Linked DNA regions of Arabidopsis thaliana. The protein of the gene in region 1 interacts with the protein of each later gene in a pairwise test. Each region holds a gene or a part of one and is shown on either strand. Other genes may lie near its edges.

What was found. The genes of interacting proteins can lie anywhere in the genome.
Region 2: the proteins of APL (region 1) and CBF2 interact in a two-hybrid assay, tested with the Arabidopsis thaliana proteins (one large-scale study listed by BioGRID).

What each region holds. Positions count from the first base shown.
Region 1 is NC_003070.9:29,876,677-29,881,119, reverse strand, and holds APL (Homeodomain-like superfamily protein), read left to right. Parts: upstream 1-1,840; 5' UTR 1,841-1,984; coding exon 1,985-2,159; exon of another isoform or gene 2,160-2,249; coding exon 2,250-2,326; intron 2,327-2,462; coding exon 2,463-2,529; intron 2,530-2,658; coding exon 2,659-2,725; intron 2,726-2,811; coding exon 2,812-2,854; intron 2,855-2,951; coding exon 2,952-3,599; 3' UTR 3,600-3,892; downstream 3,893-4,443. UniProt on the Arabidopsis thaliana protein: Transcription factor required for phloem identity. Has a dual role both in promoting phloem differentiation and in repressing xylem differentiation during vascular development. Regulates the expression of the transcription factor NAC045 (AC A4VCM0).
Region 2 is NC_003075.7:13,014,685-13,018,172, reverse strand, and holds CBF2 (C-repeat/DRE binding factor 2), read left to right. Parts: upstream 1-1,937; 5' UTR 1,938-2,086; coding exon 2,087-2,737; 3' UTR 2,738-2,923; downstream 2,924-3,488. UniProt on the Arabidopsis thaliana protein: Transcriptional activator that binds specifically to the DNA sequence 5'-[AG]CCGAC-3'. Binding to the C-repeat/DRE element mediates cold-inducible transcription. CBF/DREB1 factors play a key role in freezing tolerance and cold acclimation.

The DNA of each region.
Region 1 (4,443 bases):
GTGTTACCATGTATAGCTGCACAATCGTCAGTCCTACAAAAGCCAAAAAAGGTTATAGCCCCAGCAAGCTTTAACCAATAAATTAAAATGGAGAAAAGAAGAAAAACATATGGTAAAAATAAAAAGAATAAAAGAGCTTTAATAAGTAGAAGAAGAGGTCCCCAACGTTAACTCTATCTTTACACATTGATGCATAATTCTCCACATATTAATAGTCCGTGTTTATAATATGTATAACTTTAAAAAATTGTTCCATATTCTTATGTTAATTTTTTTGTTTTAATTCAATATTCATTGACTGGTATTGGTCTACATTTTAACATGTACATGCTTTCCCTTAATTAATACTTAATATATAACCTCTAATAAATTTCTGATTCAATTCAAATTTTATTCTTAGATAATATTCTCTCTTTTTTGTGTGTGCATATCAGCCTCAGCCATATTCATTGACTTATTCTTGTTCTATGTAAATATGCTATGGGACCTCCCACTCATATATATTTAGGTTGACCATTTATTTTACATGCATGCAATTGAATTTAGGGGTTAATCTAAATCGTTGCGTATATGAATTATATATGATTTTAGTTTGTATATTGAAAAATGCATCGTCGTTCTATACATAAGCTAGTTTAGTAGCTAATAGGGCAATATTAACAAAGTTGATTTTCTGGTTTGTAGTGTCCATACAAGTAATTTAGTTAATTATCTCGTTTGTTCACCTTTTTGTTTCTTTTTTCTTTTGCTAGCTAGTTAATTGCGGATGTAAACTACATCTTTTACTAATCGATGAATGGAAAACGTTTTTGTCGTAGACAAATATTCCACCGTACCTAACGGTTTTGGATTGCATGTATATAATAAATTTGTTCCAAAAATATACGGTCTATTAATTTATAACGAAGCTCATCATTGCTTAGAATTGTATATTCACCTCATAATTAGCCAAAAAGGTTTACCCTACCATAAATGATAAAATCCCTAGCCTTGTGGAATTTGTTTCGTTAAGATATTTGTATGTATGCCTCCAATTACGATATATGACGATGTAGACAAACTATAAGTCTAGTATACGACTCTCCTCGTGCGGTCTTAATTGAATAGAATACATAGAACTTTAATATATTCACTTTAAAAGTTTATATTTTCCTATAAAGAAAATATTTACAAATCTTTGATTACTATTTACTCCAAATCAAGCATGATTAAGAAAATAGTATATAGAACAATTGTATGATAAATTTGGATTTAAAAATTACTTCTAAATTATAAGGTAGTAAAGAAAAAGAAACCAAAAATATAAGAATAATAGATGTGCAATATCTTTGATTCAGGTGAATTATATTTTAACTTAGATATCTCAAGTCATTTTAATGTTTATATCAGGAAATAAAGAAATAAAAACCATCATGCAACAAATCATGCATATATATTAGATACATCCGTAACCGCTTTTTTTCGTCTTTTTTTTTTGTTTTTTTCGTCGTCACATCCATAACCGTTTTGATATGAGATCTCCGATGTTCAAAATTCAATTTCCCCCAAAGATATCAATTTAATATCTAATATATACTATTATTTTAAGTTTGCGCAGTAATTTAATAATCTGAGACAGACATGATTTACTTAATGTATACGTATAGTGGCTTTTACACACATTTTATATTGAAAGAAATTCAAAGGTATTCAAGCTAAGAGGATAAAAAACACAAATGAAAAAGATAGCGACAGTATCTTTTCACAAAGGAACGTCTGTGTACTAGTCTGAAACTTTAGTTCTCTTCCTTACTAACGATAAAACATATTTAACTAAACCATAATTTATTTACAAACAAAACAAAAAAGACGAGAGAGAGAAAAAAAAGCCGTCATCTGATCTCTTCAAAAACGCATCGTATTCTCTCACATTTTTGCATCACATTCGTTTCTTGAATCCCCTCTTTCAGAGAGAGAAAGAGAGTCAGAGAGAGAGAGAGAGAGAATGTTCCATGCTAAGAAACCTTCAAGTATGAATGGTTCATATGAGAACAGAGCTATGTGCGTTCAAGGCGATTCAGGCCTTGTCCTCACCACCGACCCTAAACCGCGTTTGCGTTGGACCGTCGAACTCCACGAGCGTTTTGTGGACGCCGTCGCTCAGCTCGGCGGCCCCGACAGTATGAACACACATACACAAATATATATTCAATCCATTTAACCAATTATAAATGTGTTTTTTCAAAGTTTTTGATCATTTCTATTTGCAGAAGCGACCCCAAAGACGATTATGAGAGTTATGGGTGTGAAGGGTCTTACTCTTTACCACCTAAAGAGCCATCTTCAGGTATGTACACAAATATAGATTAGGGTTTTTTTCTTCCTTGCTTTTAATTTTCTCTCCTCTTTATCTTTTCTATTCTTTTTTTCACTTAATAATATAATATAATAATCTAACAACTTATTTGGATCTATGGGTGCAGAAATTCAGGCTTGGAAAGCAGCCGCACAAGGAGTACGGAGATCACTCCACAAAGGAAGGTTCAAGAGGTGACCACTCTTCCTTTCTCTATCAAATTAGGGTTTTTATAAAAAAGTTACCCATAATATAGATATGTATTAATGTATATATATGTTCTTTGATCCGTCTTCTTCTAATTTTTTTTACCGTACGTGTAGCTTCTGCCATGGATATTCAGCGCAACGTAGCTTCTTCTTCTGGCATGATGAGTCGCAACATGAATGAGTAATATTTTAATCAGATTTCGTTAATTTTCTCAACTTTCATTTTAATATATATTACAGCAACTCACACCAGGTTGGTTTGATCAGGATGCAAATGGAAGTGCAGAGAAGGTTGCATGAACAGCTAGAGGTAATTAATTAACCTATAGATATTCTATGATAACTGCTTGTACAAAATCAATTTGTATCCCATAAATATAGTAAATGATTTCATTCAATTTTTATAGGTGCAAAGACATCTGCAACTGAGGATTGAAGCACAAGGAAAGTACATGCAATCTATCTTGGAGAGAGCTTGCCAAACCCTAGCCGGTGAGAACATGGCAGCCGCCACCGCAGCAGCCGCCGTCGGAGGAGGATACAAGGGTAATCTGGGAAGTTCGAGTCTTTCAGCAGCGGTGGGCCCACCTCCTCATCCTCTTAGTTTCCCGCCGTTTCAAGACCTAAACATCTATGGAAACACAACCGACCAAGTCCTCGACCATCACAACTTCCATCATCAAAACATAGAGAACCATTTCACGGGTAACAATGCTGCAGACACCAACATTTACTTGGGGAAGAAGCGACCTAATCCTAATTTTGGTAACGATGTAAGGAAAGGACTATTGATGTGGTCTGATCAAGATCACGATCTTTCCGCAAACCAATCGATCGATGATGAGCATAGAATTCAGATACAGATGGCTACACATGTCTCCACGGATTTGGATTCTTTGTCGGAGATCTACGAAAGGAAATCAGGTTTATCAGGTGATGAAGGGAATAATGGTGGGAAATTACTGGAAAGGCCATCGCCTAGGAGATCACCATTGAGTCCTATGATGAACCCTAATGGTGGATTAATACAAGGAAGAAACTCGCCATTTGGGTGATACAATTTATTAATTTTTATCTATGAGTGATGCATGGGAATGTAAGAACGAGATATATATGTTTTGTCATTGTGAGTTTGACGTAGGGTTTAGAGATGAGACAAAACAAAACAAAACAAAAAAAAATAAAAAATATATAAGCTTTGTTATGTTTACCGGATTAGTTTTGCTCGTGTTTTATAATCTGTACGGAAACTATATATTATTGCTGTTCTTATAATATTTTAGGATCTATATATTTTGTACTTATTCGTTACTTATTTCTTCTAGTCAACTGTTTGATGATTGATCTTTACATTGTTAGTCTCAGTAGAATTGCCGAATATATGTTTTGTTATTCTTTTATCACCCACATAAAATCTGTAGTTGCCTTTTATGGTTAACTAGCTATTTTCATATTCTATGTTTGATAGCTTTTTTTAATGGCAATTTCAAATAAATTAAGTTTAATTTCTTACATCCGCAATTTTATTTCATATGTACATACTTGTACGATTTTCATATTTGACAGTTTGCCAATTAGAGGCATATAAAATGTGAATGTACTAAAGTATATCTAGTACATGTATATGATAAATCAGTACATATGTATATTACCTTAACCAGTATATATATCCCATGCATGAACGTAACTGTATATATGACAAATAATAAACATTTATGTGTTAAGAGCTAGGTTGCTCATGTTTCAAGGCATGTACGATATTTTAAAGCTTTTGAAGGGCCCTTTGCTTTTTCATGAGTTAGTTATTTCTATCTCAAGTTAGTTTGTACTTGATGCCTTATATATGATTACGCTAAAATGGGATATCTGCATCGGGAAACTAAATTTTCAATCAAACTT
Region 2 (3,488 bases), on another chromosome or scaffold:
AACAAAAAAATGTTGTTTAAATTAGAGTATAAAACCGAAACAACCGATTCAGCAAAACCTCCAATAATAGACCGTACACCATAAACAGAAATATGGGTCCCACAAGAGAGCACTGTCCGTAGCTTCCCCTTCATTGGCCCTCTACGTGGCTCCTCTTGTAACCAATGTCATGTCATTTTCAAGTTTTACTTTCTTTTTTTATACTAATATCTTGTTTGTCGTTTTCTGTACCTTAAGGTCCTAAACCACTTTCTTTCGCGCACCATTCCTTGTCGTATTATTTCTCCGAATATGTCAATACCGTGAGACGACAATTGATAGCGAGAGGTAGCGAGAGAGAGAAACGTTCGTTGTGAAGATATTTTATTGCTGTTGTTGAGATTTGAGATATTTTATAGCTATTATTGGAATTTGAAAGTGATGTATAACTTGCTACTATATCGGTCTAATCCTTGGCTTAAACCAGTTTTTATTTAGTAATTTTATGCTCCTGTATTATTATTCGGTGGAGTATTTTTTTCTCAAAAAATATATGAGTCGAGTTTAAGAAATATATAAGCGAAAAAACAAAAAAAATATATATAAGCGGGGTTAATAGATCAACCACAATCAATTTAATTTGGACTTTAGAATTAATAAAATTGTTTACTTCGTAATTATTATTATTTTTGTTGTTCTGGCAAATCTGATAATCCAGATTATTATTAGACAAGTAGCGAAGGGACGGTGAACATTTATGATTTTAATTTGTATGTTGTAAGGAAAACAAAACAAATAAGTTCTGTAAAAAAGGTTTACCTTTCTACTTTGCCGGAAAACTCAACTCACGGTGGCGTCCGGCGAGTTTTCAGACCAAAAAGAAGGTTGGAAGAAATGAAGATGAAGAGGAGAGGACAAAAGATAGAGATGGTGGTTGAACAAAAGAAGAGTAAAGAGGACGAAGACGCTCTAAGTCTAAGCCAAGGGGGAGAAGAAGAGAAGAGGTATGAGGAGGAACCATACTTTTGTTAGAGAGATGCTGGAAATTGTGATCAACTACATGCAAAATGTCTTTTCGCCTAACCACTTACCATATTTGATATTTTCCTTTTGCCAAATTACACAAACCCTATCTTGTCTCTCACATATATATCCAATTAATACACCCCTGCCACTTGTTAATTCTCGACCATGTATGTATACTTATGTAAAGAATATCCAAAAGCTTTCTTTTTGTTCCTTCGATTTTAAGCAACTTGTGTTCTCATTTCTCAATATCTTAAAGAAATCCTGAGTAAAAAAGTTTATAGCCTCCGTGAATCTTAGGAAATTACTCTAGCATATTCAAATTTTTTGAAACAATATATAAATTTTTCTGAATAATTAAATTTACATATCTATGCTACGAAACTTGATTAATTAAATCAAATATATATATATATATATAATAATAATAATAATAATATAACATTTTTTTTAGGACACAAATATCTAATCTCACTATACTCTAGAAGTATTTGCAATGCACGATATGTGAATGGAGAAAAGACAGAAAGAGCATTTGAAAATATCTCGTTTCACGGATCATTATGTCTAATTATTTTACCATAGAAAAGCGACAATTATAAACAATTTGTTATTCGTGGAAAAATAATATTTAATAATGGTTGTCGTACCCTATAAACTACAGCCACACATTCATACAATAAGAAGTTAAAAAAATTCATACCCTAAAGGCATCAACCAGTGAAGGGTCAGAAACTTCCCAAGATGGGTCAAAGGACACATGTCAGATTCTCAGTGATTGACAGCCTTGATAATTACAAAACCGTGGGATCGCTTAGCTGTTTCTTATCCACGTGGCATTCACAGAGACAGAAACTCCGCGTTCGACCCCACAAATATCCAAATATCTTCCGGCCAATATAAACAGCAAGCTCTCACTCCAACATTTCTATAACTTCAAACACTTACCTGAATTAGAAAAGAAAGATAGATAGAGAAATAAATATTTTATCATACCATACAAAAAAAGACAGAGATCTTCTACTTACTCTACTCTCATAAACCTTATCCAGTTTCTTGAAACAGAGTACTCTTCTGATCAATGAACTCATTTTCTGCCTTTTCTGAAATGTTTGGCTCCGATTACGAGTCTCCGGTTTCCTCAGGCGGTGATTACAGTCCGAAGCTTGCCACGAGCTGCCCCAAGAAACCAGCGGGAAGGAAGAAGTTTCGTGAGACTCGTCACCCAATTTACAGAGGAGTTCGTCAAAGAAACTCCGGTAAGTGGGTGTGTGAGTTGAGAGAGCCAAACAAGAAAACGAGGATTTGGCTCGGGACTTTCCAAACCGCTGAGATGGCAGCTCGTGCTCACGACGTCGCCGCCATAGCTCTCCGTGGCAGATCTGCCTGTCTCAATTTCGCTGACTCGGCTTGGCGGCTACGAATCCCGGAATCAACCTGTGCCAAGGAAATCCAAAAGGCGGCGGCTGAAGCCGCGTTGAATTTTCAAGATGAGATGTGTCATATGACGACGGATGCTCATGGTCTTGACATGGAGGAGACCTTGGTGGAGGCTATTTATACGCCGGAACAGAGCCAAGATGCGTTTTATATGGATGAAGAGGCGATGTTGGGGATGTCTAGTTTGTTGGATAACATGGCCGAAGGGATGCTTTTACCGTCGCCGTCGGTTCAATGGAACTATAATTTTGATGTCGAGGGAGATGATGACGTGTCCTTATGGAGCTATTAAAATTCGATTTTTATTTCCATTTTTGGTATTATAGCTTTTTATACATTTGATCCTTTTTTAGAATGGATCTTCTTCTTTTTTTGGTTGTGAGAAACGAATGTAAATGGTAAAAGTTGTTGTCAAATGCAAATGTTTTTGAGTGCAGAATATATAATCTTTGGTCTCCCCATAAGCAACAAATCAAAATATAATACTATTACGTAATTCAGTGAATTGAAAACAAAAAGTTTGGGCTCACCTGTAAAATTAAAGTTAGATGATTCTGGCATTTCCGTGTCTAAGAAAAGTTCTAGGCACTTATGTAAATAGCAAAAGTTCCAGGTTGGTTGATAGCAACAGTTTCTGCCTTTCTGCTAATTCAGCAAATATCAAGACTCAAGGACGTTTGGTAAATATCCAAAGTTCCGTGAGTTTTTGTAAATATGATAAATTATAGGCACTATATAGATATCTAACGTTTCAAAAAATGTTTGACCCAAAAAAAAAAAAAAAGGGTTTCAAAAAATGTCTGCAAATAAAAAAAAAAGGATGCGGAGACACTTTTAATTTAGTCAAAGCTTTAGGCAGTAATGTAACTGAGAAACGATCCTATGTAAATAGCAAAAGATACAAAAAAAAAATAAAAAAAAAAAAATAGCAAAAGATACAAGATAGTGATAGTGTATAAGTAGTATCAAGAGATTTATATACAGTATTTATGGAAATAACAAATGTTTCGAGATTGTAAAGAGAAAATGATCCATATAGTAAA